Linked DNA regions of Anolis sagrei. The protein of the gene in region 2 interacts with the protein of the main gene of each other region in a pairwise test. Links are inferred from orthologs where the notes say so. Each region holds a gene or a part of one and is shown on either strand. Other genes may lie near its edges. The genes, in order: UBL5 and CLK4.

Evidence for each region.
Region 1: the proteins of CLK4 (region 2) and UBL5 interact in a two-hybrid assay, tested with the Homo sapiens proteins (2 studies listed by BioGRID and IntAct). The link is inferred for Anolis sagrei from reciprocal best matches to the Homo sapiens genes CLK4 and UBL5.

The regions. Positions count from the first base shown.
Region 1 is NC_090022.1:147,588,981-147,604,322, forward strand, and holds the start of UBL5 (ubiquitin-like protein 5), read left to right. Parts: upstream 1-9,189; 5' UTR 9,190-9,261; exon of another isoform or gene 9,262-9,428; intron 9,429-9,502; exon of another isoform or gene 9,503-9,593; intron 9,594-11,673; 5' UTR 11,674-11,752; coding exon 11,753-11,808; intron 11,809-12,791; coding exon 12,792-12,875; intron 12,876-15,095; coding exon 15,096-15,133; intron 15,134-15,342. Other genes in the region: FBXL12 (F-box/LRR-repeat protein 12), read right to left, coding at 262-1,074, 4,496-4,568, 9,077-9,189. UniProt on the Homo sapiens protein: Ubiquitin-like protein that plays a role in cell proliferation and sister chromatid cohesion by associating with spliceosomal proteins. Participates thereby in pre-mRNA splicing by maintaining spliceosome integrity.
Region 2 is NC_090022.1:87,943,628-87,959,110, reverse strand, and holds the start of CLK4 (dual specificity protein kinase CLK4), read right to left. Parts: upstream 7,957-15,483; 5' UTR 7,800-7,956; intron 5,027-7,799; coding exon 4,875-5,026; intron 3,737-4,874; coding exon 3,535-3,736; intron 2,422-3,534; coding exon 2,331-2,421; intron 1,958-2,330; coding exon 1,891-1,957; intron 979-1,890; coding exon 862-978; intron 771-861; coding exon 604-770; intron 511-603; coding exon 416-510; intron 1-415. UniProt on the Homo sapiens protein: Dual specificity kinase acting on both serine/threonine and tyrosine-containing substrates.

The DNA.
Region 1 (15,342 bases), about 60 Mb from region 2:
ATAAAAAGGCCACATGTTCCATTCTTTTCCAGAGGAAAATAAGCTCTGTCTCAATTTAAGCCACTCTTTTCCAGAGGAAAAGAGTGGCTTAAATTGAGACAGAGCTTATTTGAATAATGAACCCAGAATCCAGAACTGGGTTTGAATGATTTGGAGAGCACAATGATATATATGTATTCAGTGCACATAATTTCATAATCTTCCATATATCGCCATCTTTTGACTTTCTGAAGAATAAGCATGGACTGAACTTGCTAAAGTCTATGACCCTACACTGGAATTGTTACTGGAGATAGTGCTGGCCACGGCACAATTTGGCAAGTCTGCCTGGATTTTGTGCAGTGCTGTATCATCAGATCCTGTGCTGCCTAAATAAAGACGCTTTAGCCGTGGCAGGGCCTGAGCAAGTGCTACGACTGAATCTGCAGAAAGCCTGCTGAAGAAGTCCAGGCGGAGTTCTTCCAAATCTGGCAAGCTGGCCAAGCAAGGGAGGCCTACATCTGTCAGAAAATCAGTGCCCCCAAGGTGTAAGCTGTGCAAGTGCTTCATGTGGCGCCCAATGAAGTGCATGGCTGAATTGCCAATCTGACTATGGAGCAATGTGAGATGCTCAAGGCCTCCCAGATGGGGTGCTGCTGTCTGGATTCCCGCATCTGTTACTCGGTAGGTCTTGGACAAGACAAGAGTCTTAAGAGTGCCCTGTCTTGAGATGTTAAAGAGGTGTTGGTTTGAGAATGCAGGGACATTCTGGATAATCAGGTGCTGGATCCTTGGGAAATCCTTGCAGGCCTCGGCAGCTTCCGGGACTTGGAACCACACTGAAGGGATCTCACAGAAGCTCAGCTCCAGGGTCGTGAGAGAGGAGGGGAGACAATTATAGGGAAGGGAACGGAGGTCTGTCTTGGTCAGGCACAAGTTGTGGAGATTAGGGCATTGCTTGCCCAAGGCCTGCATCAACGCTGGGGTAAACACATCTTGCTTCCGAATGGAGTGAAGGGATCCCTGGGCCTTCAAAGTCTGCACAGTGCCTCGCAGATAATTCCTCAGTAGATACCACAAGACTTTGGAGGACACCTGAGAGGACGGAAGTAGATTCAACAGAGAAAACATGCAGATTAAAAGTTGCATGAGTTAAATTGATGTAAGATGGTTGGAGGGCTTATAAATGCTTGAAACAATCGTTATGGCAACAAACCTGCAGCCACAGACCCAGGAAAAAGGCCCAGTCCACTCAGCAGAACCTAGCCTTTAAACCCATGCATAAGTCTAGAAATTTTACTCAAAACCCTGGATCGACTTATTCACAGGTCAATGTCAGTACTGTGTCTTAACTTTTAATGAAAGAGAAACCATTGGGTTCTCTGACAGCAATTATGAAAATGCAAGTGCACAGGATAGGGCTGCATACTAGTATTTAGGTTTAACATTCAAAATTCAGCACTTCCCCCCTCCCTAATTTATTTTCTTCACTGATTGTTAATTTAGAAATGGAAATGGGTTGGCTAGCTCTATAGAGATGCATGGTTGGAGAAACAGAGGAGTTATAGCCTAAAGTAAAAGGTATACAGTAAAGCTATTGATGTTTGGGTGCTATGTTCAGAGACTTCTGGCCCTTAACATTGGGTAAAATCAGCCCAATTTTAACCTGCATTAAGTAAACTCAGGAAAGCTCTGGAGGGCTTAGTATGAATAGCTCAGCTGGTTCCAATTCAAATTGATTCAGTTGTTTATACAAGATAGATTGCCATTCGCCCTGGGCCCCCTTTGGGGGGAGAGGGCGGAATATAAATAAATAAATAAACAAATAATAATTATTATTGGTAGTAGGAGTTTTCCATGTGCTCCATTGAGAAAACAGGATGGCACTTACCCTTTGTTTGTTTGTTGCTGCTCTGGAGAGTACTCCTGAGAACTCCTGGCTATAGCTGGGGCCTTTGTTTACATCAGCAAAGGCACCCAGCGATAGCCAACTGCTAAAGGACCCAAACTGCTTTTGTGACCCAAAAAAAGGAGAATCACCCACTCTTTTTCCCAAGTCATGTGAAAGCCTTTGCTGATGTCAGAAAAGGGGGCCTCGCATTGGCCCTGATGCAATCCAGAATTCTGTTTCCATTGCCATGGTGACAAACAACTGAAAAGGTAAGAGTGACTGGACAGCAGGGCTGGACTGGATGGACTCAGCTCTGCTCCCACTGCTGCCATGGTTCAAGAGCAGTGAGGTGAAAACACCTTAACAGAATCCTTCTAATCTGCCCTGAATTTAGGTGCCCATGTAGATGGGCCCCTAAGAATCATAAACGTTGTAGTTTGGTGATTGTGACCATGTGTTAGAATATTCTGCCCTCTCCAAATAAGTACATCTATATCTCAGATGCTTCCTCGTGGCAGTCAAAAAGTATCTAACCATGTGGGTGGGCTTTTTATAATGTAAATTGTGAATCTTTCATGTAAGGAAAGTTCCACTGTACAAGATTATAATCTGCTCTGAACCCTGAGGATGTAACTAATAGGGAAGGTTCATAGCCAATCAATGTGGCATAGCCAGTGGGTTAAAGCACTGTGCCGGCAGGACTGAAGCCCGACAGGTCGCAGGTTCGAATCCGGGGAGAGGTGGGTGAGTTCCCTCTATTAGCTCCAGCTCCTCGTGCGGGGACATGACAGAAGCCTCCCACAAGGATGATAAAACATCAAAAATCATCCAGGCGTCCCCTGGGCAACGTTCTTGCAGACGGCCAATTCTCTCACAACAGGAGCGGTTGCTCCTGACACGACAAAAAAAATAAATAAATAGCCAATTAAAGATGGCTGTGGCATGCTTTGTGACCCAAAACAAGGAAACATGGAGGCAAAGAGCAACATGCACCCAGCTCTGCAGCTAACAATGAAACTGTTAAAGTTTATAACTCCCAAATTCAAAACGCATCTGAAATCGTACTGCATGGGAGATATGCTGTTATACTGGCTGCAAAATTCTTCAGACTCTTAGTCTTTACCCACATAATAACAGAGAAATCCCTGCTCAGCCATGAAAACCCACTGGGGGATCTTGAGCAAGTCATACCTGGCCTGAGAGGAAGTCAAGGGCAACCTCCCCCCATGAGCAGACTTTGCCAAGAAAACTCCATTAAAAGATTTGATGTAGGTCGGAAATGACATGAATGCAGAAACATATGGTTTTAGCCCTTCCTGAAAGTGTGTTGGCAATGGCTTTTGGAGGCTGAAAAGGTAACTGCACCACAGTGCAAAGCTATTTTTTAATGTATTAACTTTATTTCTACCCCGGCTTTTTCCCTATGGAGACTCAAGTTGTCTAACAGCTACACAATCTGATCAAAGTTTAAAACAAAGCAAATAATTTAAAAAAAAAAAAATTAAATAGCACTTTGTAGATATAAAGTTAAACTATAGTTAAAATATAATAAATTAAACTTACATTTAAAAATCACAATTCCCCACCCCAGAATCCCACACACAACCTCCCCAGCAGCATGCCCATCTTTCTACCTTAAAGGCTTGCTGGCACAGAATGCAAGCAGGGAAGGGCCAATCCTGGTTTTTTGGTAGGGGGAGGAGGGAGTTCCACATACTGGGAGCATCCACCAAAAAGGCCCTCACTTGTTCCCACCAAATGCACTTAATCGGGTGGTGGGACAGAGAGAAGGCCTTCCCAGTTGATTGTAGATATCTGAGAAGTTAATAGAGAGAGATATGGTCCTTCAAATAACCTGGACAGAAGCTGTACAGGGCTTTGTAGGTCAAAACCAGCACTTTGAATTGTGTCCAGAAATAGGCTGGCAGCCAGTGGAGCTGTAGTAACAGCAGAATTGTCCACTCCCTGTAGCCAGTCTCAGTCAGCAGTCTGGCTGCTGCTCTTTGGACTAACTGAAGTTTCTGAGCACTTTTCAAAGGCAGCACCATGCAGAGTGCATTACAGTAGTCTAACTGGGATGTAATGAAGACATTTGCAACCGTGGCCAGATCTACCTTCTCCATGAATGGGTGCAGTTGGTGCGCTAGCTTTATACAAAAGCATTCCTGGTCACTGCTAATACCTGGGCCTCCAGGTTCAGAGCTGAAATTTAGAGTACCCCCAAACTGTGAACCTGTGTTTTCAGGGGGAGTGTGACCCCATCTAACACATGCTGAATCTCTATTACTAGATTGGTGTTATGACTGATTGGCCAACTTCTGTCTTGTCTGGATGAAGCTTCAATTTGTTTGCCCTCATCCAGTCCATTACAGCTGCCACAGACTAATTTAGCATAGAAACGGATTCCTTGGCTTTAGGTGGAAAGGAGTAATGGTATTACAGTTCATCTGTGTACAGATGGCATCACACTCCAAAATTCTGGATGATCTCTCCCAGCGGTTTCATGTATATGTTGGGGGGCAACACAGAGTCCTGAGGGACCCCAATGGCCAAGGAAGTACCCCAGCAATTCCTGATCCTTGCTCACAAATACCTACTAATGTGCTGGAGTTTGACCATTGTTACCTTGTAAGAAGTTAGATCCAAATGCCTCCACAGAAACTTGTCCCGCACCAGGCGACGCCACCTCTTGCAAACCCTGTAGAAAGATGTGATCAGTTGTTATCAACTAGTACTTCTCACCCAAAGGCAGTGACTGGGTGGCTTCAATGCAGAGGATCTGAACAAGTGGGTTTACATCCACAAAAGTTGATATTGAAATAAAAACTAGTTTGTTTTAAAGGTGATGCTGTTTCCCACTCCCTCCTTCCTTTTTATGCTGCAAGAAATTAACACAGCTGCTTCTTTGAAAACTGTAGTCAAGGATCCTGTTGCAGAAGTAGTGAGGAAACTAATTGGAGGTAACTGTGAAGCAATGCCACATTGTTGGTGTGCATGGAGAGGAGGGAGCAACAGCATATACATAGTAAGCACTTATATAGAAAAATAAATTGTTTCAGAATTCAGTCTGGATGAGGGGTTACTTCTCTGCACAAACTAGAACTTCATATTGGGCGAATGGATTTTGGCAATGTCCAAAAACTCTCTCCACTGATGAACACCTCTCAACATATGTAGGCCAGGGACTTCTTTGAAACTACATTTCAGGACACCCATTGAAGAGGGAAACATAGGGACAACAGGATTTTGAAGAACTTCTGCACCTGAGCCATTCTTAAGTGTTTAACTTGCATTTCCTTAGGCAAGCCAAATAGAAATAACACCGTTTCAGCTTATTTTTATTGGATCAAAAGGGCCACATCCCCAAAAATGAATGCCAGGACTTCATCACACTGCAACAAGATGCATTAGGGTCCCCAACTAACCATTTGTAAGCTTATAGCTTTTGTTTCCCTTTGATAGCTGCTCTAGACATGCCTTCGGAGCAGCCCTTCTGCACTGCTGGAGCAAACATGCTGCTTTGAAGGTACACAGTAGCGCTTAGAGAGTTGCCTTGATATCTTACAAGGCTCCAAAGCAGGCCTGGTGTTTCATAGTCAAAGCGGCGGGGGGGGGGGGGGGGGGGGAGAACAAAGCAGAAGGCAAGAATATCTCCCTTCCCTGTCACAAAGGCTCCTGTATCTTTAACAAAGGAGTTAGTTTTATGTTGCTGTCCATATTGCGCTCTAAACTAGGAATGAAGATCTAGTGGCCACCAGATTCTTTTCTACTTTATACAACAACTACTACTACTACTACTACTACTAATAATAATAATAATAATAAATCCTTATTTATATGTGCTTTTCTCCCACAATGGGGACCCAAAGCGGCTTCCAACATGGTAAAAACACAATACAAGTTAAACAACAATCAAATGCATGAATATAAAACAGATGGAATTCACTGGGTTGCTGTGAGTTTTCCGGGCTGTCTGGCCATGTTCCAGAAACATTATCTCCTGATGTTTCACCCACATCTATGCCAGGGATCCTTAGAGGTTGTGAGGTCTGTTGGAAACTAGGCAAGTGAGATCTATAGATCTGTGGAATATACAGGGTGGGAGAAAGAACTCTTGTCTGCTTGAGGAAAGTGTGAATGTTGCAACTGGCCACCTTGATTAGCATTTAATGGCCTTGCAGCTTCAAAGCCTGGTTGCTTCCTGCCTGGGGGAATCCTTTGTTTGGCAGTGTTAGCTGGCCCTAATTGCTTCTTGTCTGGAATTCCCCTAGTTTTTGAGTGTTGTTCTTTATTTACTGTCCTGATTTTAGAGTTTAGTTAATACTGGTAGCCAGAATTTGTTCATTTTAATGGTTTCCTCCTTTCTAGTGAATTTAGTTTCCAAGAACCTTGTCAGCTGAAATAAGATGACTATTTCCTGTTCCTTTAACGGCTGTGCAGAAAGAAGTTCTGCAGGTGTTGTTTTCAGGACAATATAAATTGATTCCCCATTATGCATGTTCCATAAAGAGGCAGAACCCCTGTGCCTCATTTTGCCTGTCAACAACTCCCAGAAACCCCAAGCACCATGACCAACCACTGGAGGGACCTGCAGTCCCAAATACCTAGATGGAACAGGCATCCTATCGCTCACTATAGACCAGTAGTTCTCAACCTTCCTAATGCCCCAACCCCTTGATACAGTTTCCTCATGTTGTGGTGACCCCCAACCATAAAACTATTTTAGTTGCTACTTCAGAACTGTAATTTTGCTACTGTTATGAATCATAATGTAAATATCTGATATTCATGATGTATTTTCATTCACTGGAGCAAATTTGGCACAAATACCCAATACACCCTAATTTGAACACTAGTGGAATTGGGGGGGGGGGGTTGATTTTGTCATTTGTTAGTTGTATTGCTGGGATTTATAGTTGATCTACAATCAAAAAGCATTCTAAACTCCACCAACGATGGAACGGAACCAAACTTGGCACAAAAAACTCCCATAACCAACAGAAGGAAGGGTTTGGTGGGCATTGCCCTTGAGTTTTGGAGTTATAGTTCACCTATGTCCAGAGAGCACTGTGGACTCAATGATGGATCTTGAGCAAACTTGGCATGGATACTCAATATGCCCAAATGTGAACACAGGTGGAGTTTGGAGAATATACACCTTGACATTGGGGAGTTGGAGTTGCTGGGATTTATAGTTCACCTACAATCAAAGAGCGTTCTGAACCCCACCAATGATAGAATTGGGCCAAACTTCCCACACAAACCCCCCAATACCAATAGAAAATGTTGTTTTATTTAACTGTTTATTTTGGTTATGGCACATAACAGAAAAGCGAATCGTGACAGATATAATCAGGTAACAATATTTTTGACGTGTACATGCCTATCTATCTTAATCAACCAACCAGTTAATTTTGAAATTGAGTACAAATTATTATCAGTTACTTAACTTAAAACACAGAGACTTGCTATTTCTGTATGTTATCCACTACTTTCAGTCAAAGCTTTCTATTCAATTTTTTCCCATTACATTCAGAAAATCAGCACATGGCATTTTACACACAGCAAACCACACACTCATCCCAGAACCCTTATCCCACACAAAATAAAACCTCTTCCCCACACCCGTGCACCCTTCACCATGACTTCCAACACTGAAACACTATGAAGCCTTTAAGCCTATTTATCTATCCTTATTCACGGTAAACCTAAATTCCTAATGGAGCTCCTCTATGTTGGTTGTAGGTTTTTTCGGGCTATATGGCCATGTTCTAGAGGCATTTTCTCCTGATGTTTCGCCTGCATCTATGGCAAGCATTCTCAGAGGATGCTTGCCATAGATGCAGGTGAAACGTCAGGAGAAAATGCCTCTAGAACATGGCCATATAGCCTGAGAAAACCTACAACAACCCAGTGATTCCGGACATGAAAGCCTTCGACAAGACTCCTCTATATTACTGACTCTCTTGTATTCCTCCTGTTATAAGTTAGTCTGGCCATTAGCATACGCTGTGTTTTCTGCTGGTCTTTGGAGACCCTTTTGCCATTCCCTCGTGATCCCCCACAGGGGTCCTCACCCCCAGGTCGAGAAACGCTGCTATACACCCTGGGCATTTAGTCTAAAAGTGCCAGATTCTGTCTGGCCTTGGAAGTTAAGCAGGCTCAGCCCTGGTTAGCACCTGGAAGGGAGACCACCAACGAATACCAAGTGCCGTAGGCGATATATCTGAGGAAGGGACTAACACAGTGTTTCTCAACCTGGGGGTCGGGACCCCTGGGGGGGTCATGAGGGGGTGTCAGAGGGGTCCCCAAAGACCATCAAAAACCACAGTATTTTCTGTTGGTCATGGGGGTTCTATGTGGGAAGTTTGGCCCAATTCTATCATTGGTGGAGTTCAGAATGCTCTTTGATTGTAGGTGAACTATAAATCCCAGCAACAACAACTCCCAAATGTCAAGGCCTATTTTCCCCAAACTCCACTAGTGTTCACATTTGGGCATATTGAGTATTCGGGCCAAGTTTGGCCCAGATCTATCATTTTTTGAGTCCACAGTGCTCTCTGGATGTATGTGAACTACAACTCCCAAACTCAAGGTCAGTGCCCACTAAACCCTTCCAATATATTTCTTTTGGTCATTGGAGGTCTGTGTGCCAAAATTGGTTCAATTCCATTGTTGATGGAGCTCAGAATGCTCTTTGATTGTAGGCAAACTATAAATCCCAGCAACTATAACTTCCAAATATCAAAATCAATCCCTTCCCAACCCCACCGGTATTCAAATTTAGGCATATTGAGTATTTGTCCAATTTGGTCCAGTGAATGAGAATACATCCTGCATATCAGATATTTACATTACAATTCATAATAGTAGTTCTGAAGTAGCAACAACAATAATTTTTATGATTGGGGGTCACCACAACATGAGGAACTGTATTACGGGGTCGCGGCCTTAGGAAGGTTGAGAACCACTGGACTAACAGAACCTCTTCTGAGCCTTGGAGAAACCTTTGGGACGCCAGGAAGGAGAGTGATGCGGACTGCCCTATCACATCACACCGCAGCTGCCATGGCAACATCCAATAGAATGGGAGGAGCCTTCTGACTCTTCAGCAGAGCGCTGTCGGGCCTCACTAAACTACATCCCCCAGAATCCCACGGCAGTTAAGGGTGGGAGAAGAGCTCCCTCCCCGCCCGGAGCCCTCACCTGGCTCCGCCCACTCGGTCACGTGGGGGCAGCCACGCCAGGATCTCGAGCAGGAGCGAGTCCGGGAGTGTGGCGAGGCTGGGCACCGACATGGCTGAGTGTATGCCTTCCATTTGAGAGCTTCTCCCGCCTTTCCTTGGAACGTTCGACCAGGCTCCTCCGATTTCCGCTTCCGGGCGTGTGAGGCACGTTTCCGCTTCCGCTTTCTTCCCCCTTCGGGCTTCTGCGTGAGTTCCTCCGTGACTGTTTCGGCCCGCTTTCCTTGGGGTAGGTGAAAGGAGCAAGGCCGGCTGCTTTAGCCCTCCAGGCCCCGGACAGTGGCCGGGAAAGCTCCCGAAGCCCCCAGAGTGAGGTTAGCTGTGCTTCTGTGGGTGGCTCTTCTTTTACTTCTCCGGGGAATTTCAGGCTGAACTGAAATTCGGGTGCGAAGGGACTCTTTCCTTTCATCTGGTATTATTCTGATTCTGATTGGTGGATTATTCAGAGCCAGCGTCGAACCACGCCTCTGGAGTCTAAGGTTTGAGCCCCCACTCAGCTATAGACACTATATGGATTCTTTGAGCGATTCACATTCTCTGGGCCTCTGAGCAAGGCCAGGTCCCATCTACCCTGCCATATAATCCAGGTTATCTGCTTTAAACTGGATTATTTGGCAGTGTAGACTCATATAAACCACTTCAAATCAGATAACCTGGTTTCAGAAACTGGATTATATGGCAGGGTAGATCCAGCCCAATTTTTGCCAAGAAAGCCCCGCAATAGCTTCTCCTCAGGACAAATTGAAAGATGGCTTGAAGTTGAACAGCCACAACACAGGCTGAGTTTCCTTTACTCAAGATGCTTGGTGCCAGAAGTGTTTTGGATTTTTTAAAATTTCTTCAGATTTTGGAGTATTTGCATGTACATAATGAGATATATGTATGTGGCGTTGGAGGAAAGTGCCGAGAGTGCCTTGGACAGCAAGAAGATCCAGTCCACACTTCAAGAAATAAAACCTGGCTGCTCATTGGAGGGAAGGAGAGTAGAAGCCAAGATGAAGTACTTTGGCCACATCATGAGAAGACAGGAAAGCTTAGAGGAGACAATGATACTGGGGAAAATGGAAGGAAAAAGGAAGAGGGGCCAACCAAGGGCAAGAGGGATGGATGGAATCCTTGAAGGGACTGGATTGACCTTGAAGGAGCTGGGGGTGGTGATGGCCAAAAGGGGGCTCTGGAGTGGACTGGTCCATGAAGTCATGAAGAGTCGGAAATGATTGAGCGAATGAACAATGAGATATCTTGGAGATGGGAGTCTGAACACAGAATTCTATTATATTTCAATGTATTGAAGGCTGTCATGTCCAGAATCACTGGGTTGTTGTGAGTTTTTGGGCTGTATGGCCAGTGTTCCAGCAGCATTCTCTCCTAACGTTTCTTCTGCATCAATGGCTGACATCTTCAGTTATTCAGAAGACTCACAGCAAGAATATAGTTTATTTAATAATGATAATAATTTATTTATAGACTGCCTTATCTCCCCAAAGGGACACAGGGCGGTTTCAAAAAAACATGACAAACATTCAATGATAAAAGAAAACAGTACAAACAATTTACATCAGGACTAGACACATTGGAAAATATAGAGCAACCTAGCTGCAACATAATAAAAAATGGAGAAAAATAAAAACTCCATAAAATGCAAAAATCCCGATAAAACGCACTAAAAATATAAACTAATTACATCATAGTGCCATTGGGTGAGGTTCAGCAATACCAATGGCTAAGATGGAGCTGAAAAATATAAGGGCTGAGCAAGGAATAGTGTAAACAACATGTCATAGGGTCGGGGAAGTGAATGAATTGCAGAACAGGCGACCTAGAGACTAGGCCTATGTGTATGCCTTATACACATAGCTTGGACATAAATTTATACAGAGGGTTGGACTCCTCCCCCCCCCCCAACCTTATACCAAACTTCTTAGTGTTTAAGGTACCATTATAGTCGTTGTTTTTGCTATGACAGGCTAACACATATAACATTATAGAAATTGCTATTCTTTTTATGGCTTCTTAAAATGGTAGTGTTCCCATGATTGATTGTACCTCTTGGATGTCAGTGCTTCCATTTTTTCTTATTTTGAGCAATACAATAGTTTAGGAGTTAATAGGGGTTAATAAACCATTCTGGAAGAGTTATGTAATACAGTTTATATAAATATGAGAAGGTTTAAATAAGGAAGAGTACAGCAGCGGAGCTTCTCAATTAATTAATTTTGTATCCTGTCCCAGGGCACTCAGTGGCCTAGTTGCTCCCAGATGAAGGGCCAATAGTATTATCAGTTGAATTACATTGTACAGTTATCCACTATTAAATGGATGAAGTGGTGGAAAATCCTGTGATGTTACAAGTGGAAGACAGGCATGTCTGGACTTACCCATAACGTTCTGTGCGGTAGGGAGTATGATATTATTGTACAAATCTCAGCTAGATTCACTCAGAATTTGGGAATTCCGACCTCACTCTCTTTTCCTGAGATTGTGCTTTGAAAAAGCAAACAACCCCTTCTCTATCTGAAGTGACTGATCACATTTTTCTCTGTTTCTTTCTTCCAACAGTACCCCTAAAGGCAGGAGACTAGAGGTCTCCTAACTCAGCCGTTTCTTGTACACTGATTACCATTGACACCGGATCGGGATGATTGAAGTGGTTTGCAATGATCGTCTGGGCAAGAAAGTGAGAGTCAAGTGCAAGTATCCAAAACAGAAATATGTAATTTTTGAACACCTAGGGGGAGCTAGACTATATTTTCTAGCCTTATATTTAATTTCTGTTTTATTTGTGAAGACTCTTGACACATACAAAACAGATACTTAACAAGGGAAATATCTGTGATGAGAACTGTTCACTTGAAATATGAGCACAGTGTAACATAAGTGTAGGCGACTGTGAACATAAGAAATGACTCAGAAATTGTCTTAATAGTCACTTCCTTTTGAAATAATGCTTTCTCCTATTCCAGCAATTTTCTGAGCAACAGTATCTGGAAGGCTTTATAATTCCCCTCGCTTGGTTTACTCCCAAGTATGGGATCACTCTAATACGTTGTCTACATTTGGACTAGAATGCCTGTTGTCAGGCAAGTTAAAGTTCAAAAAGCAACAGCTCAAGCAGAATGGATATAAGAATGGATTAAGGCACATGCTTAATGGAGAAGATTGGTATAGAGTGAAAGTGTGTGTGTGAGAAAGAGCATTAGACAGGTGTTTAATAATCTCTAAACTGAAGGTAGTGCTTTTTTAAAAAAATAAGCAAAAAAAATAAGCAGGAAGCCTTGGGTCATGTGATACTGCACAAGCATAACTTTTTTTTGTGTTGCAGTAAACAAATTTTGTTCAAAGATGGAGAAAACTCTACTTAGGAGTGTTTTTTTTAAATAGGTGTTTTGATTATATATGTTTAAAGATTACCCACCCTAGGTAGGGATGTTAAAATATTGAAATATTTATATTTTTTTTCTCCAGGATTTAGGAAAACACATATAATGGTTCCAAAGATGTATGTGTGGGAAGTAAGGAAAACAGAGGGGAGGGAGAGAGGTGGCCGGTAGAAGATTTATGCACGACCGCAATGTGTATTCCATTTAATAATCTGAAAAAAACATTAGTCTCTTAGAGTTTATCACAAAGAGGCCTCCACTTGAGATACATTTTGCTTAACTGGTACTATTGCTCAGCTCTGATGACACCATCCGGGACCTGAAAAAGCTAATTGCGGCCCAGACTGGAACTCGGTGGGACAAGATTGTACTAAAGAAATGGTGAGTAGAAATGTGGACAGATTTCAATAAAAGAATGGTACTTTTGTTTCAGGCAGAATTGTATATGGCATTACTGTCCTAGTCTAGTTCTGAGAGCCAGAGTTCAAGAGCATCATTTGTGTCCTGAATACAAGAGACCCAAGGATAATATATAAAGGCTGTCTCCCCTCTCCCTCCTGTGCAAAAGTACAGCTATCCCAATACATTTGCGGGTTAAGCATTGTGCATTTGTGGATGCGAGTGAATTTGCTGTGCTGTCTCTTGAAGCAGAGAGCAGAGTAGCGACAATGTCAGTTGCCACCCACCCTTCACTAAAGGTTTACAGACTTTGGTTGGGGGTTGATGGTGACTGAAATCATTGCTATTCCACTCCCTGTAACTTCAGGGGGCAGAATAGCAATGGTTTCAGTTGGCATTTCCCCACAAAAGTCTGCAAGTCTGTAGACTTTGATGTGGGATGATTACAACTGAAGCTGTGAACACAAGACCTGCAAATGTGGAAGACCAATTGTATTTTATTATAAATATTTATTTATTGCCTCCCAGCCAAAATGGTTCTCAGATAATTCAAAAGGATCATAAAACAATAAAAATTATAAACTAAATAATTTCAAATTGTACTCAACAAGAGCTCACAATGGCAGAATATTGTCACTCCAGAATTCCAGATAAACTCAATCAGAAAAGGAACAAAAATAATTTTGCTTTCCTCTGAAGGAAGATAGCTTTGGGAAGAGGCTCTATTTCTTATTGGTGGGTCTCTGAACTGCCTCATTCAGGGTTAGTCAGGCCAGATTCCAATTCAGGAAGGATCCTGAGGACGCATTCTAGCAACAAGCAGTGCTTGGAAACAAGGAAAGAGTAGGTTGCTCTGAACCAATGGGACAGGGCCAAATATACATACATACATATATACATATATATATGTATATATATGTATTTTCCTCTCAGGCATAGCTCTGTCCATGCATATTCACTGCAGAATAAGCTCAGCACAACAGTGCAGGTCATTTTCATGGAAGGTCTTTAAAGTTTGAGTAGCTGGTTCAGCGCGCGGCAGCCATGTTACTAACTGGAGCGGGTGGCAGGGAGCACACAACGCCCCTGTTGTCCCAGCTCCACTGGCTGCCGATTTGCTACCGGACCTAATTCAAGGTGCTGGTTTTGGCCTACAAAGCCCTAAACGGTTCCGGCCCAAAATACCTTTCGGACCGCATCTTGGCCTACGAGCCCACGAGGACCTTGAGATCGTCTGGGGAGGCCCTTCTCTCGATCCCGCCTGCCTCACAGGCACGGCTGGCGGGGACGAGGGAGAGGGCCTTCTCGGTGGTGGCCCCCCGGCTGTGGAACACTCTCCCTGCACACATCAGACAGGCGCCCTCCCTCATGTCCTTTCGAAAAAGCCTTAAGACATGGCTGTTCGAGAGGGCATTTAATTAAGTGCCAACATTACGGTAAAGAAGAATTGGAATGGAATAAGGAATATGAGACGGGTTATGATTCCACTATGAGACGAAGCGGATTTTTAGTGTAGTCTGTAAGTGTTGTTAGTTTAGATGTTGTTGAACTGGCTTTTGTAATTGTCTTTTATGTGTACTGTACACCGCCATGAGTCGCCCTTATGGGCTGAGAATGGCGGTTAATAAGTGCATCAAATAAATAAATAAATAAATATTATCTCTAATCTCTGATGGGAAATAACACTAGTAAAGCCCTATGGGCAAGATGAGGAACCCATGCAGTCCAAGGGCATTCCATCTGGAAGTTGTGGAAACAGAGGGGTGATGAGTATTATTATTTTGTTTATATTCTGCCCTATTTCCAATAATGAGACTTTTGACAGTTAACAACATAGACCTAAATATCTCAAGTCTGTAGGGCATATAGAAAGAGACACTCCTAGCATATTTTTGATTCAGTCATTTAAAGCTGTAGAAGTCATATCCACAAATTACATTACATCCCAAAATAGAATGGCAACTTATATCTTATTGTAATATATAATAATCACAGGAAGTTACTCTTACAAACATCCAGTTGCTTCTGCTGCAAGATAATGTTTGGAGCCATCTTTAAGGAAAATTCCATGTAAAGCCCATTGTTCCCAGATTGTTGTGTGTGTAATTATGTTAATTTCATGTTTTAACAGAAATAATTGTCATTGTTAATTTGCTTTGTGTAGCAAATTAAAATTAACTATATATATATTTAATGTTATAGGTACACAATTTTCAAGGACCATGTGTCACTGGCAGACTGTATCCTTAATCCTGGTGGTTGACAATAAGTAAGAGCTTTACTATATGTACAGAGAAGGGAACAGCACTCATTAATCATCTTTAAATTCAGTAATGTTATTTGGATAGTTGCTTTGAAATCATTTCCGATTTATTTATACTTTTGCAAAAAGACTTGCACAAAATACTCTTAGCCAATAGACCAGAGTTTACTTATATACATTTTTGAT
Region 2 (15,483 bases):
TAGTGGCATGCTGTACCATTATGTCTTGTGTGTGATTTCCCAAATTATCCCAGACTAATGACAACTGAAAGGGAAGTTCTGATTCTTCTTATAGTCATCAACATATTTCAACACCTTGAAATAGTCTTAGAAATAAGATAAAAGTCTTAGAAATAAGATAAAAGATTTTGTAGTTTCTGGCCTATCAAGCGCATATGAGTAGAACACATAGATCAGATTTTCTGATAATCTGTTCAAGGTTCAAACACCAAAGCAGCCCCACTTGATAGGAAAAATGTACTTGAGAATATCTTGGTTGATAGAAAAGTAATTCCTTTCTTCCACAAGTAACCTTGCTAATTGTGTATGGCATGTTCAACCACTGAGAAAAGTAAGGATAGACCACAAGGAACTAACCTTAAGCAAATCAACTTACCATTTTGGAATTGTACTTTACAATATAATCAGACTCTACGAATAAAATATTTTCAGGTTTCAGATCTGTATGAGTCAACTTATTATGATGTAAGACTGCAAAAAGAAAAAGAGGTGGGAGTTCAATACTGAAATCAATATCCAACATTTTTAGATATGGACATATTCTTAAAAATTAAGTTTACTTACAGTTTATGGATTGACAAATCTGATAAGCCATCTTCCTAATAAGTTCAATAGGAAAAGGCAAAAAGCTATTTTCTTTAATAAAATCGTAAGTACTGAGTCCCAGCAGCTCAAACACAATGCACATGTGGCCATGATGTTCAAACCATTCCAACATCTGTACACAACGGCTAGGAAAAAGTGACCAAAACATCACTTTAATAAAATAGGCAATGACTTAGTAATGTTTAAAACAACATCCTCATTCTAATTTATACTTACAAGGTGCTGCTAGGATCCAAGGTATTTAAATGCTCCAATACCTGAATTTCTGAACGAGCTGCTTCTCGATATCTACCAACATTTTTCACTATTTTAATGGCGACATGTACTGCCCTCCTACAGAATAAAATGAAAACATTGTGATACAACTACATCTGCTTTCCAGCGAATTTCATGCATTTTACTGATTGTATATTCACTGGGGTGTGTTATTATTTCCAACTTGCTAAGGTCAGTTTCAAGGCTGAGACCAATGCGGACTTAATGATGTCCCTGATAGAATTACAAACTCCAGCAATATATACCGTAATTTAATTTGCTGATTGCTTATATAGCACACCAGTTTAGAAGAGCCTTTTAAATGTTATGTTCTTCATGTTGTGAAGTAGGTGAAAACTGCTTCTTACTGTGCCCACCTGCATTTAGGAATTTCAGCATTTAAACTGAGAGGTAGACATAAATATTGCTATTTGTTATTACTTGTTGATTTCAGTATTGTACGAAAATAGATATCATAAATAATACCTAACATTAGCTTTTATTTTTAAATAAATTTAACTGGACGCTGAAATCAAAGGGCAGACTTTTTAAGATCCCCCCCCCCCCCCCCCCCGGTTAACATTTTACAATGGAAACTTGATCAAATTCTGGTCATAACTTAAAATGGTGAGAACTTCATTGCAGCAAGTCTCACAGACCACGATCAAACTAGTTGCATCAATCAGCTGCAGAATCTGCAACAGTGAAGGTTAGAAAGAAAGTGGCTTCACTGGATCATATCTGTCATTCTCTTTTTCAGGTTATCTTTATTATAGATTGAGTACCCGGATCTGAAATACTTGGAACCAAAAATGTTTTGGATTTTTTTTTTGCGGCTGGGGAGGGGGGGGGGGAGTCTTGGAATACTTGGATTTGCATATACATACATAATTACATAACGGGACCCAGGTCTACACACCAATTTCATTTATGCTTCATATACACTTCATATATAACTTGGAGATAACTGTGGAGAGATTGCGTACTTACATGTGATGATCAATGCATTCTACTACTTTTCCAAAAGCACCCTCCCCTAAAGTGGCAATAATTTCATCTATAAAAGAAAGAATACATTGCATCTGTTGCTGAACAAGTTGAACAATGGTGTAAGCAATTAAGCATGTCATTATAAAAACGTTAATTTAGTATCTGCCTTTGGATGTGTTATTCCATTGGACAGTTGTCATGAAACAGATAACTAGCTATCTGTCTAGCCTTAAAACTTCATTTACTACTAAAGTATTGAATAACAATTATTTAAGAATACAGAAAAGAACAGAAAAGTAAAACAACACAAAGACAAAATAAAAGACAAAAGAGAGCAATGTAGGTTTTTTAACCCCGCCCCACTCCTCGTCTAACATACTATTCTAAACAGATGTTTTGCTGAAAGGTTTTTTAAAAAAGTGTTGAAAAATATTCTATACATCTTGCTCTTAGTACGTCTCCACTTTGGCAGACCAGATGACCCTCCTCATCATCCTCTACACTCCTGGATCTTTTCCTTCGGTGGCTCTTCTGGAAACGGCACCAAGATCGTCCAGCCAATCAATATATCAGAGTGAATTCAGGGTAGAATACGCAATTCATTCAGCGGGGATATTCAGGAATTCAGTTACGCACCAGGCCACGAACAGTTGGCAGGAGCAATTTCAAATTCAGTCCCCAGAAATTCACAGGGCACAGTTTATGTTACAGAAGAAAAACATGGCAAGGAACAGATTTTCAGATAAATTCTTAAAATTCTTGCAAGACAACAGAAACACAATACAGTTTGTCTCTTAGATACTAGATTACTTGAAGACTGAAATTAAACTTGCAATGCAAATAATTTTGTTATTCGAAACAATGTTGTCATGTGCATGTCTAGTTTTATGAAATTATAATCAGGAATGATCTTCTTTAACTTCAAACAAAATGTTTTAAAATAGCAATTATATATTATTAAAATCAACAATAGACTTTTTGCGCAATTATCTTTTGTTCCTCATTTTGAAAAGCTAGAGTGGCATTATTTAGATTTCTTGGAATACAATTACAATTTAAAATTCCAAATGTATTCATTCAATAGCACCTTAAAAATCTTAAATCTGAATACATACATATATAGGCTGCACCATACTTTTTATTAGGAACCTGGGGTTCTTTCCTTGCTAAGTAGCATAATATAAGCATTTCTATTAGTAAGCAATAGCATCATTTAATAAATGACCAACAGTTGCCACAATTTAAGCTACTCCACAGAGGTATGCTGAAATCAATTCAGACACCATGGTATTTTCATTTAATTAAAGACTTCTAAAGTTCTAGATACATTCCATAATGATGTAACACTAGTTAAAATGACAGAAGCATTTGGTTATTTTTATATTCTCAATGTAATCTGAAATACTAAGTAATCATCTGCGTTTACAAAATACTTGAAAAATTAGTAAAAACTCAATAAATCTGGAATTATATACTTAACTCCATTCACTATATCCCCAAATATCTAAATAGATGCAAATATACATGATCAGGGCAACCCAAGTTCAATTCTTTCTCATGCATTTTACAAGCATTTACATTAACAGAATCTCATATTCTGCGAAGAAATGTAATACCATTATTATATTTTAAATCTATACATACCAAATGCGAGCTGTTGGTGGAGTCATGTTTCTTATGCTTTCTTTTATGACTTTTACTGTGTTGATGAGATGATTTGCTATAATGATGACAGTGACTCTTTTCATAATCTCTATTATAATGTTTCTGGTCATCTGTATCATTAAAGTCATTTCTGTATTCTTCAACATATCTCCTGCTGCGATGGTCTGTCTTATGAGTGGATCTATTGAAAAAATATATATGACTTATTTTTCCAACTTAAAAAAGAGAACATGAAATATTTTCTGTCACCAAAGCAATCCCTACACATATGTCAGGGTATGTACTAGATCTATTTACCCAGTTTGGCACAAGATTTAAAGTGTGATTGTAAGCTATTCACAGGCAACAGTTACAACTCCCCCTAAATCTGTAAATATAGAAGAGTGATCACCAAAACAACCTACACAGACAAAGAGTGCTGCACCAAATCCCAGCTATAATTCAAAGTGCCATTGGGTTCAACCTACTGTACTTTCTGGAAAACTACAAATTAGGAACCACCCCCCCTATTGAAGGCAATAATTGGTTAGCCAAGACAATAGAGGTATAGAGCTTCTGTTCAGAGATGTTACTCCATGACACCTAAAACTACTAAGGGTCTATGGCTCCATAATATCTGCTAATTTAGGGTGCCAGAAAAACCTGTACATATTTGAAAACATGTTTATTCTATGGTTTGGAATGAAACCAACAACATTTTCTCAACTATCTTTTTTTTCCCCTAATAGAGGCAGGTCCTGGAGATCAGCAAAGGAATCCACGGGGAAAAGGCGAAGGAGTCATGTCCCCAAGTATTCAAGTTGATAGTCTTTATTTAATTTTAGAAAACGACCAACACATATTGGCTTGTGTATCTATTACAATAGGTTTTTTCAGGGATTACATAAAAACCAATAAAAGGTTAAAAATAAAAACAAATAGACAATTATAAAATAATATCTACATGATACATTGAAATTGTTTTATATATTGCTTAAAACCTATACACATACCCATATGCAATCTGACAGCAGACATTTCTGGAGCTTAAAATCTCATTCAATTTACTGGATCAAAGAGAGAATCAGACTCAAGCTTATTTTTATGTCAACATTTACATTCTTAAATCATCCTTTAAACAGCATTCCCTCATATTCAAGTCCTTAAGATGAATAAATGACATTAACAACACATGCAATATCACTAGATATAAGTGGATTGATAACTACTCTGGTAAGAGTTGATATGAAAATGATAACTTAAGTGACAAATGTTAATCAATTTAAAATTTAAGTTAAACCTAGTTACAATTAGATCATCATTAAGTTCAAGTAATTTACCTGTCTGCAGTTTTAAGTGATTTATAGTGTTTGTCATGTCTCTCACTGCTGTGGGACTGCCTCCTGCGCTTGTGACTATTGGTACTCTTTTCTTCATCTGAGTTTCTTCCATCATTCCATTCAGAGCAGTGGGATGGCATTGAGTGCGTCATCTATCACATGAAAATATACCAAAATGAAATGAGAATATTATATGACAGACAATGATAAATTTAAAAAGACAGATTATAGCAAAATCACATTCATGTCAATCATGTTAACTTAAAGTGTAATGAATGGGGATTATACTATGAATTGTTATACATATATATGGCATTTATATGCTGCCCTTCTCACCCCAAAAGGGGACTCAGAGCGGCTTGTGCCCCTGTTCAGAAGATTTCACCTCACTTTCTGTCCCTGTGATAATTAATTTTGTGTGGAAACAAGGACTGGTGATTCACTTTTTCTCCATTGTAACTCTTTCAGGAGTGAATCTCCCTTTCTGAAGGTAGATTCTCTTACTTCCTGTTGTCTTGCCCCTGTTCTTAACTATGAATCATTTGTAAGTTGGATGTTTGTAACTTGGGGACTGCCTGTAGACATTAAACTTTAAACCTAGTACTATCTAAAAATGAACAATTAAAACAATTAAGGCAAATTTAAAGTACCCAAAATCCCATACCATATCCCCTGACTTAAGACTTCAAAAATGTTTTTCTTAAAAGCTGGCCTAAACAGAAAAGCCTTCACCTGACACCGGAAGGCCAGCAGGGAAGAGACCATTCTGGCTTGTTGCTGCTCAGCAGCTGCTGAACATGTTTAGTCTGGCTCAATAAAACCCTGACCTGAAAGCCCCTACTAAGAGCAACACTACAATCAGCATAGACAATTTCCTTAAAGGAGCACACTACCACGCCATGGTGAGAAGGCTCAATCAAGAAAGCCATGAACATGACTACTGACAACATGGTGACTTGGAGATGTCTCATTCATAGAATTTGATGGCAGTTAACAAGGCTCTTAAATTGGGCCCCCTGGTGGCACAGCAGGTTAAACTGCCGATCTGCTACCGGGCCCAATTTAAGGTGCTGGTGTTATCCTACAAAGCCCTAAACGGTTCCGGCCCAAAATACCTTTCGGACCGCATCTCGGCCTATGAGCCCACGAGGACCTTGAGATCGTCTGGGGAGGCCCTTCTCTCGATCCCGCCTGCCTCACAGGCACGTCTGGCGGGGACGAGGGAGAGGGCCTTCTCGGTGGTGGCCCCCCGGCTGTGGAACACCCTCCCTGTTGATATCAGACAGGCGCCCTCCCTTATGTCCTTCCGGAAGAGCCTGAAGACATGGCTATTCGAGAAGGCATTTAATTAAGTGCTACAGTAACTGGAAATGACAACTGGAACGGAATATGACTACGAGACGGATTATGATTCTACGATAAGACAAAGCGGATTATTTTAGTGTAATTAGATGTCTGTGTAGTAGTGATATGTTAGTTTTTGTCATGTTGGCTCATTGTAAACTGTCTTTTTTGTATATTGTACACCGCCGCGAGTCGCCTCAGGGCTGAGAGCGGCGGTTAATAAATGCAGCAAATAAATAAATAAATAAATAAACAAACTGCTGAGCTGCTGAATTTGCTGACCAAACGGCAGTTTGAACCCAGGGAGTGGGGGGAACTCTCGCTATTAGGCCCAGCTTCTGCCAACCTAGCAGTTTGAAAGCATGCAAATGTAAGTAGATCAATGGGCACCACTTCCGTGGGAAGGTAAAGGCGCTCCATTCAGTTATGCTGGCCACATGACCTTGGAGACATCTACGGACAACGTTGGCGGCTCTTGGGCTTACAAATGGAGATGAGCACCACCGCCTAGAGTCAGATGTGACTAGACTTAATGTCAGGGGAAACCTTTATCTTTAACAAGGAATGCAAGTCTCCTATATATATTTATTTCCAAGCGTTGTTGTACCCAGTGGAACATCTGAAACCCAGCTAGCTTTGAACTGTGACAGCCAAACAACTAACTCCCACAAACACACTCGAACAAAAGCCCTTCATGTGTATCAGTGCTCTGTGGTTTGTGTAATCATCATTTTTGGCCACATTTCCTGTGTAATTACCTGCACAGCAAAACAGGTTTCTCCAATGCCTGTTTGAAACGGCATTAAATGATCAGTGTGGATGGGTCAGTGTGAACTCTCAAACCACACCATGTATAATAAATACTGCAAGTATTTACATAGTTCTAGCTACATTTTCTGATAGCAGAAGCGTTGTGCTATCGGGTATCATTTAGATGCCACCAAGTAGAACACATGCGCCAGACTCAAGGCCCGCAGCCTAATTTGGTCCATGTCATTTGATTTAATCAACTACCAAGCTTGCAAACTTTTGTATTTTGTCTGTTTTGCTAAAAATGTAATACAAATTTCTGGTTGCTCCTGACACGATAAATAAATAAATAAAAATATTTGAGATGGCCCACCAGATGCTAGACTGTGGGGAGACAAAGCGGGATACAAATGAATAGCATAATAAATGAATAGAATAATATATTCCTCATTATTGGACCTCATGACTACAGCTGATGGGAGTTGTGATGCAGTATCATCTGTAAGGCTGCAGTTTGTTCTGTTCAGTCAGGATGGTGGGGTGTGGATATAGATACAAGGCTTGTGGGCAGGCTGTAAGTTACCTTTGGCCCAGCCTCAGACCCACAAGTGCCGTGGGGTTGGGATTCCCATTATCCCCAGTCCGTATGGTGGAGTGATGGGAGTTGCTGTTCAATACTATCTGGGGACCCAAACTGGGTTGAACCTAAAGAGCACCGACTACTATGTGTTTTTAAGAAGGCCTCCGTCGCGGGCCGAAGGGGAAAGGCCGGGCCTGCTTCCAAGGCGAAGCCCAGGAGGGACGGCGAGGCCTTCCTGTTTCCAGACTTACATTCCTGCCTCGACGCAGGTCTCCGGAAAGGAACCCGGGGCGCCTCCTCCGACCCTCCTCCTCCTCCTCCCTCACTGTGGGCGACTGACGGAGCCCCGAAGCACACCGCCCGCAAAGCAACAAACAAAATGGCCGCTGCCTCGCCTTCTTTAGCCGACGAGGGGATTACGTGATGACGTTACAAGCGCTGCTAACGTCAAATAGTGCACGTAGACTGGCACCTCAAATATAGAGTAACACGACAGAAGGAAGTTTCCTGGTTAGAGCTGAACGCTGTGTGCAGTTACAATTACAGAAAGGGCTCTCATATATTAAATAGAAAAGAAGAACCCGAGGCTCTTATTTTGCTCACTGTCTGTACCCAACTGCATATCTAGCTTGACTTTCTTTCTATACCTTTTCCTATCTCTAGGCTAAGAAGGAGCGTTCTCTGACGCACATGCTCGGTATTGAAGTCACGATGGAAAACAAGCGCCGAGACTCCGCCTACAGCACGCGGCTACCAATCACGGGTGGGAGTGCGGAGAGGACTCGCCGGATTGGCTGGAAGGGTGGCGAAGGCGGGTCTTACAGGTGCCTCTTTCTACAGAGTGAGAAATGCAGAATGCAGAACACTATGGCCCATTGCTATAGGACAAGAAAATCCAACAAATGGTCCGTTCAGCAAAGGACAAGAGGGATCCTCTCGCTTCTGCAGGAGTCTACTGTATACCATGCAGCTGTGGACAAGTCTACATAGGGACCACCAAAACGCAGCATTGCCCAAACACACATCAAGGAACATGAAAGGCACTGCAGACTGATTCAACCTGAGAAGTCGGCCATAGCAGAGCACCTGATGAACCAGCCTGGACACAGCATATTATTTGAGAACGCAGAAATGCTGGACTACTCTCACAACCACCATGTCAGGCTACACAGAGAAGCCATTGAAATCCACAAGCATGTGGACAATTTCAACAGAAAGGAAGAGACCATGAAAATGAACAAAATCTGGCTACCAGTATTAAAAAACTCTAAAATTACAACAGCACAACAACAGAGAGGAAACAAACAAGGACATCTAATTACCTCTCAACAAAAGATTGCTCCACGCACTGCCAGGCAATCAAATGCTAATGAAGGTGGTCAGTTGAAACATTCACACCTAGCTCCAGAAGACAAGAGTCCTTTGCCCCTCCCTGGTCATTCCACAGATATATAAACCCATTGTCCTAGTACCAACAGACCTCACTACTTCTGAGGATGCTTGCCATAGATGCAGGCGAAACGTCAGGAGAAAATGCCTTTAGAACATGGTCATATAGCCTGAAAAAACCTACAACAACCCAGAAAGATGTGATTGCGAACATAGGCAGGGTCTGAACTGGAGTTTGGTGGAAATGATTAATAGAGTTGGGTGTCATCTACTTGCAGGTGGCACCCAACTCCAAAACTCTGGATGACCTCACCCAATGTTCTCTTCAAGGTTGTCAGAAATATATATATGGGTGGCTGTGAGTTTTCCAGGCTGTATGGCCATGTTCCAGAAGCATTCTCTCCTGAAGTTTCACCCACATCTATGGCAGGCATCCTTACAACCTCTGAGGATGCCTGCCATAGATGTGGGTGAAACGTCAGGAGAGAATGCTTTTGGAGCATGGCCATACAGCCCAGAAAACTCACAGCAACCCAATAATTCTGGCCATGAAAGCCTTCGACAACATATTATAGTATTATTTATGTATTTATATATTTATTTACTTTATTTTTATACCACCTTTCTCTCCATAAGGACTCAAGGTGGTCAGCAATAACATGACACAACAGAATAGGATGTAAAACAGAAGGCAATTACAATATCTACAGAAAGTAAAAACAATTAAATATTTGTGTCATGAATACAAAAGTTAAAATACAATTATAATTACATTTGAAAGCTAAACATCCCCCCCCCCCCCACAAATCTCACCCACAACATCCGCAACGTTATTATTGTATTATATGGCATGTTGTTGTTTATTCAATCAGTCGCTTCCGACTCTTCGTGACCTTATGGACCAGCACACACCAGAGCTCCCTGTCGGCCGTCACCACCCCCAGCTCCTTCAAGGTCAAGCCAGTCACTTCAAGAAGACCATCCATCCCTCTATTTGCCAGTTATCAATCAGTATTGTTGCCATAATCTTGGGGTTTTTTATGCTTAACTGCAACCCAGCTTTTGCACTTTCTTCTTTTACCTTGGTTAGAAGGCTCCTCAGCTCCTCTTCGCTTTCGGTCATCAAGGTGGTATCATCTGCATATCTAAGGTTGTTAATTTTTCTTCCAGAAATTTTAACTCCAGCCTTGTTTTTGTGAACCATCTTGGAAGTGTGGCTGGTGGGGACGAGAGACAGGGCCTTCTCAGTGGTGGCCCCTCAGCTGTGGAACTTCCTTCTGAGCTATATTACATCAGCCCCCTCCCTCCAAGCCTTCAGGCTTTTGAAAACCAATGCAGTGTAATAACTCTAAAGTGGAATAATGTACAATTTAACTGCAGAATGACCTTAGACTCTGATCCATGGATTATTCTGTTTAATTTGTATTAATTTTAATCCAGTTTATTTTAAGTCAGTATTGTATGTTTTAAGGCACAATGTTAGCACCACTCTGAGTCCCCTTCAGGGTAGAGAAAGGTGGGATATAAATAAGGTAAATAAATAAATAGTGTGCTTTCAAGTATTTGCAAACTTTCCTCTGAGGCTGAGAGTATGTGATTTCCCCAAGGGCACCCTTTGGCTTTCATATCCAAGCAGGGATTTGAATCCTGGCCTCCAGAGTCCTGGTTCAACACTCTGGCCCCCTCCACACCGCTAAATAAAATCCCACATCTGCTTTGAACTGGAATAGATGGCAGTGTGGACTGACATAACCCAGAACAAAGCAGATATTGTGGGATTTTGGGATTTTGAGTTATATGGCTGGGTGGAAGGGCCCTCAAACTGTAAGACCGCATTGCCCTTCTGCCTCACTATAGTATTTGAAACATGTGTTAATTATCTTCCTTTGTGGCCAGCAGATGGCAGTAGTGCTACAGCCATAGGTTGCTTCATTCCACATACCTTTGAAGGAGACAGGTCTGCCCTTTCCCCAATCAGGAAGGAGCTGCAGAGGTGTTGGCCAAAATATTCTGAATGCATCAATATAATTCTTTAAAGGATAATGTCTTAACAAAGTAGCAATAACGGTGTGTATCCTTCTTTCCAGATGTAAAGAATGCACATCGTGGTCCTTCTATTAAAAATGGTAGATTAATTTTCGAAAGCAGTTTGGGAAGAGGAGACAAGAGGAGGTACTTTGGCAAAGCAAAATAGCTGGGCAACAGCATGAAAAACACACAAAATGCACCAGATGTTCTGGCTGGTGAAAGGGAATGAACTCTGCTTTGGGATCAGAGGCAGGCAGGAGTCTTCTTTAGATTTGCTGAATCCAGACCTGCTCTTTGCCCCAAAAGGGAATTGATTTTGACCCTACAGATATGCCAGCCTGACGTATTTAGTCCACCATTGCCTTCTGCAGAAAAGAGTTTTGAAACTGTAGACATTTGCTTGAATAAACACAGCTTGGCAAAAACACCCCTTTGGCCCTGGCTGCTGTAAATCAGAAGAGCTTCAGAGGTTGGTAGGGCATATTGCTCTCTTGTTCAGCCACACTTTGGCATTTATTGTAAACATTTGTATTACCTAAACTTAGAGCTTTCCAAACTGTGTGTTGCGACATGTCAGTGTATTGGCTGCAGTGTGTAGGTGTGTCACATGAAAATAATAAGAAATACCAGAAATCTTGGAAATGTATGTTATTATCTTACAAATAATATTTTTTAAAAATAAATAAATAAAGGTTTTCATGATCTCATACATACATGTATCCGCATAGTAAAGGTAAAGGTAAAGGTAGTCCCCTGACATTAAGTCCAGTCATGTCTGACTCTGGGGTGTGGTGCTCATCTCCATTTCTAAGCCGAAGAGCCAGCGTTGTCCGTAGACACTTCCAAGGTCATGTGGCTGGCATGGCTGCATGTAGCACTGTTACCTTCCCGCCGGAGCGGTACCTATTGATCTACTCACATTTGCATGTTTTCGAACTGCTAGGTTGGCAGAAGCTAGAGCTGACAGCGGAAGCTCACGCCACTCCCCGGAATCGAACCTGTGACCTTTCGATCAACAAGCTCAGCAGCTCAGTGCTTTAACCCACTGCGCCACCGGGGGCTCCTTGTATCCGCATACATTTAGTTATTTACAATTAATGTACGTGTCCGTATCTTTTACAAGGGGTTAGTTTGACCTCTAATTTGCTAGTAAAATTGAATATGTCATGAAAAGATGCATGTCTAAAAAGTGTGTTACCAACATCAAATGTTTTGAAAGCTCTGCCTAACCACTTGAGAGCAGAAGGAAAACAACATACAGTTATAGTACTTTAATGCCAGATAGTTACCATCAGCTCCTCTGAAATTCTAAACTATATTTCCTAAGATTCTATCAGATATGAATATATAAGTATCTGAGAAGAAGTCACAGAGAGGAGGAAGCAAGCTTGTTTTCTGCTTCCCTGGAGACTAGGATGCGGAACAATGGCTTCAAACTACAAGAAAGGAGAGTCCATTTGAACATTAGGAAGAACTTTCTGACTGTGAGAGCTGTTCAGCAGTGGAACTCTCTGCCCCAGAGTGTAGTGGAGGCTCTTTCTTTGGAGGCTTTTAAACAGAGGCTGGATGGCTATCTGTTGGGGGTGCTTTGAATGCGATTTTCCTGCTTCTTGGCAGGGGGTTCAACTGGATGTCCCACAAGGTCTCTTTCAACTCTATGATTCTATGACCATGACAGTTAGCGATATCAGACTTGTGTCATATGGACATACCAAAAGGCAATGATAAAGCACAATGAAAATTACTCAGAAGCTGCAGTGCTGTATTTATAAGGATGAAAAACCCTTAACTTTACAGTTAACTCTGTTGTACTGTATAAAGCTGGGGTCCTTAAACTTTTTAATAAGAGGGCCAAGTCACAGTCCCTCAAACTGTTGGAGGGCCAGATTAAAATTTGGAAAAAACATGAATGAATTCCTATGCACACTGCACATATCTTATTTGTAGTTCAAAAACCACTTACAAACAAGACAATAATTAAAATGAAGAACAATTTTAACAAATATAAACTTATTAATATTTCAATGGGAAGTGTGGGCCTGCTTTTGGCTGATGAGATAGGATTGTTGTTGTTGTTGTTGTGTGCTTTCAAGTCGTTTCAGACATAGGTTGACCCTGAGCAAGGGCTGGGTAAATGACCTTGGAGGGCTGCATCCGGCCCCCGGGCCTTAGTTTGAGGACCCCTGGTATAAAGGGATATGGGTAGGACAGTAGTTTGGTTGCTGAACTAAGGTGGCAAAAGCAATATCTGGCAGGTTTCTTGTCTGTTCAGTAAAAGCAATATCTGGCAGGTTTCTTCTCTGTTCAGCTGATGAAGTCCTTTCAGTTGCTGGGTTTGGAAACCAAAAGTGGAGCATGATATAGCTATTAATAAACTGAGCTGAACAGTTAGGTCTACTTAAGTGGAAGTGGTGTAAGGCCAGGCCTTCGTTGCTATGGGCCACCTGCTACAATGGTAGACAGCAGACGAACAGTGGCACAGCTGCCAGGCTTTACAACCATCACAGCTGAAAGACAGACAGCCGCAGAAAGGCAGAATTCATTTAAGCCAAAGCCTTGCCTCCCCTTCTGATGTGTAGACATATCCCAGGACTGTAGTACAGATTGATATCAATTCACAAGAAGAATAAGTGTGTGTACATATTGGAGGAAAAATCAATGTCTGGATTAACCACATATCAATATTTTTAATTTTACACTCACATTACAAAATGTAGAAACCATAGACAGTTCAGGCAAACTGTTAAAACACAGTATAAATTAGGCTTGTCATATAAATTCTGTACATAGGTAAAGTAGCTTGTACAACTGACAAAAGGGTTTTATAACAATTTTACAACCATAGTATAAAAAGGCCTGGGGATGAGAAAATGCTAGAAACATGAACAAATCATGGGATGTGTTCATCCTAAACAGCTATCACCTACGCATGACCATGCTGTTTTACAGTATTAATGAAAAGTAGGGCAAGCATATCACCATTACAATTTTGTAAAGATATGTACAATCACAAAAGGATAACACCCCCCCCCCCCTCCAAGTACCATACCATTTGTCCACCATAGTGGTCACAGTATTAGTAAAAGAAGAAGAAGAAGAACTTGAAATAGCAAACCTGCACATCAATGATATATGGATTCCAGATTGACCAGCAAATGCAAGTGACAATATGAGGAGATGTATCCTTCGAAATACCAATGTACTTGGGTGGCATTGTTACACATGGTTTGTACTTAAAACATATTCCGGAAACAGTTATAGTATCATTTTATTTACTTCAAGTGCCTTTTGTTCTTGTTTTCTAACAACCCAAGGCATCAATACACACCTCCCACTTTTAAGCAAAGTTTTTAGAGTTAATGTAATTTATAAATAATTTGAATCCAGACATAAACCTTGTTAGTCAAGCAACCTTGTTAGTCAGTTTTATGGCCTGGCAGTTTACTATTAAGGAAAAAGAAAAGAAAGAAGAATTGTATAGAATGTGCCCAAGATTTTAGGCCAGGCATGGGCAAACTTTAGCCCTCCATGTGTTTTGGACTTCAACTCCCACAATTCCTAACAGTCCAAAACAACTGGAGGGCTGAAACTTGCCCAAGCCTGTTTTAGCCCATATACCCAAAATAACCCTTTAAATTAGTCTCATTAAAAAATCTTGACTGTATCATTCTAATATTAACCAACAGTTTATACCATCAGAAAAATCCATAATTTTGTTCCCATTTTGACTATACCACCTCAAGTGGTACAACATTTCACTTATTTAATTTAGGCCCCACCTTTCTTTCAACACAGGATTCAAGGTTAATCCAAGGATTCAGTATGCAAGCGATGTCAGTGTTTCCTTATCCCACCATTTCACAAATATACATAAATAGTTTAAAGATCAGGTGAAGGCTGTAGTCCTACCAGGGAGAAGCCCGACTGAAGAGATATGGCTCTAAATCCAATGTAACATTGGTGAGTGAACAGAATATATGAGTGTTGACCAATTGAGGTTTTTTTTCAGCTGCACAAGTAGCAGCATACCCTTTCCTACTAATTATTGGTTGTACATATTTTCAGTGAACTATGATGTTAAAATGCAGCAAATGATATTAGATGTTCACAAGCAATTTTTAAGCAGTACTTCTATTCCTGTTACTTTGTTGCCAGTAGATGAGTTGCTAGAGGCACAGTTGGAAGAATCATAGTGAAGATCCGAAGGGCTGCAGATGTGATCTGAAGCTACTTCTGCATGCATTTATACAAGATTGGTGCTACTCTGCATGTTACTTTGGGAGGATTTGCTACCACGGAAGCAGTATTTGGGGAGACACAAAGGACAGCAGTGTGAGAAAGGGATCTCCCAAAAACCTGCTGTGTGCAAGCAGAACACTGCACACAGTCCTTTGGAGATCCAGAACTGAAACCTTCTGGGGTGTATTTTGGTCTGAGCTTTTCTCATATGGTAAAGACCAGTTCAGATCTTACGTTGTTCATGCGTGATAACTCTTGCAAATGATTCCTCTAACTGTT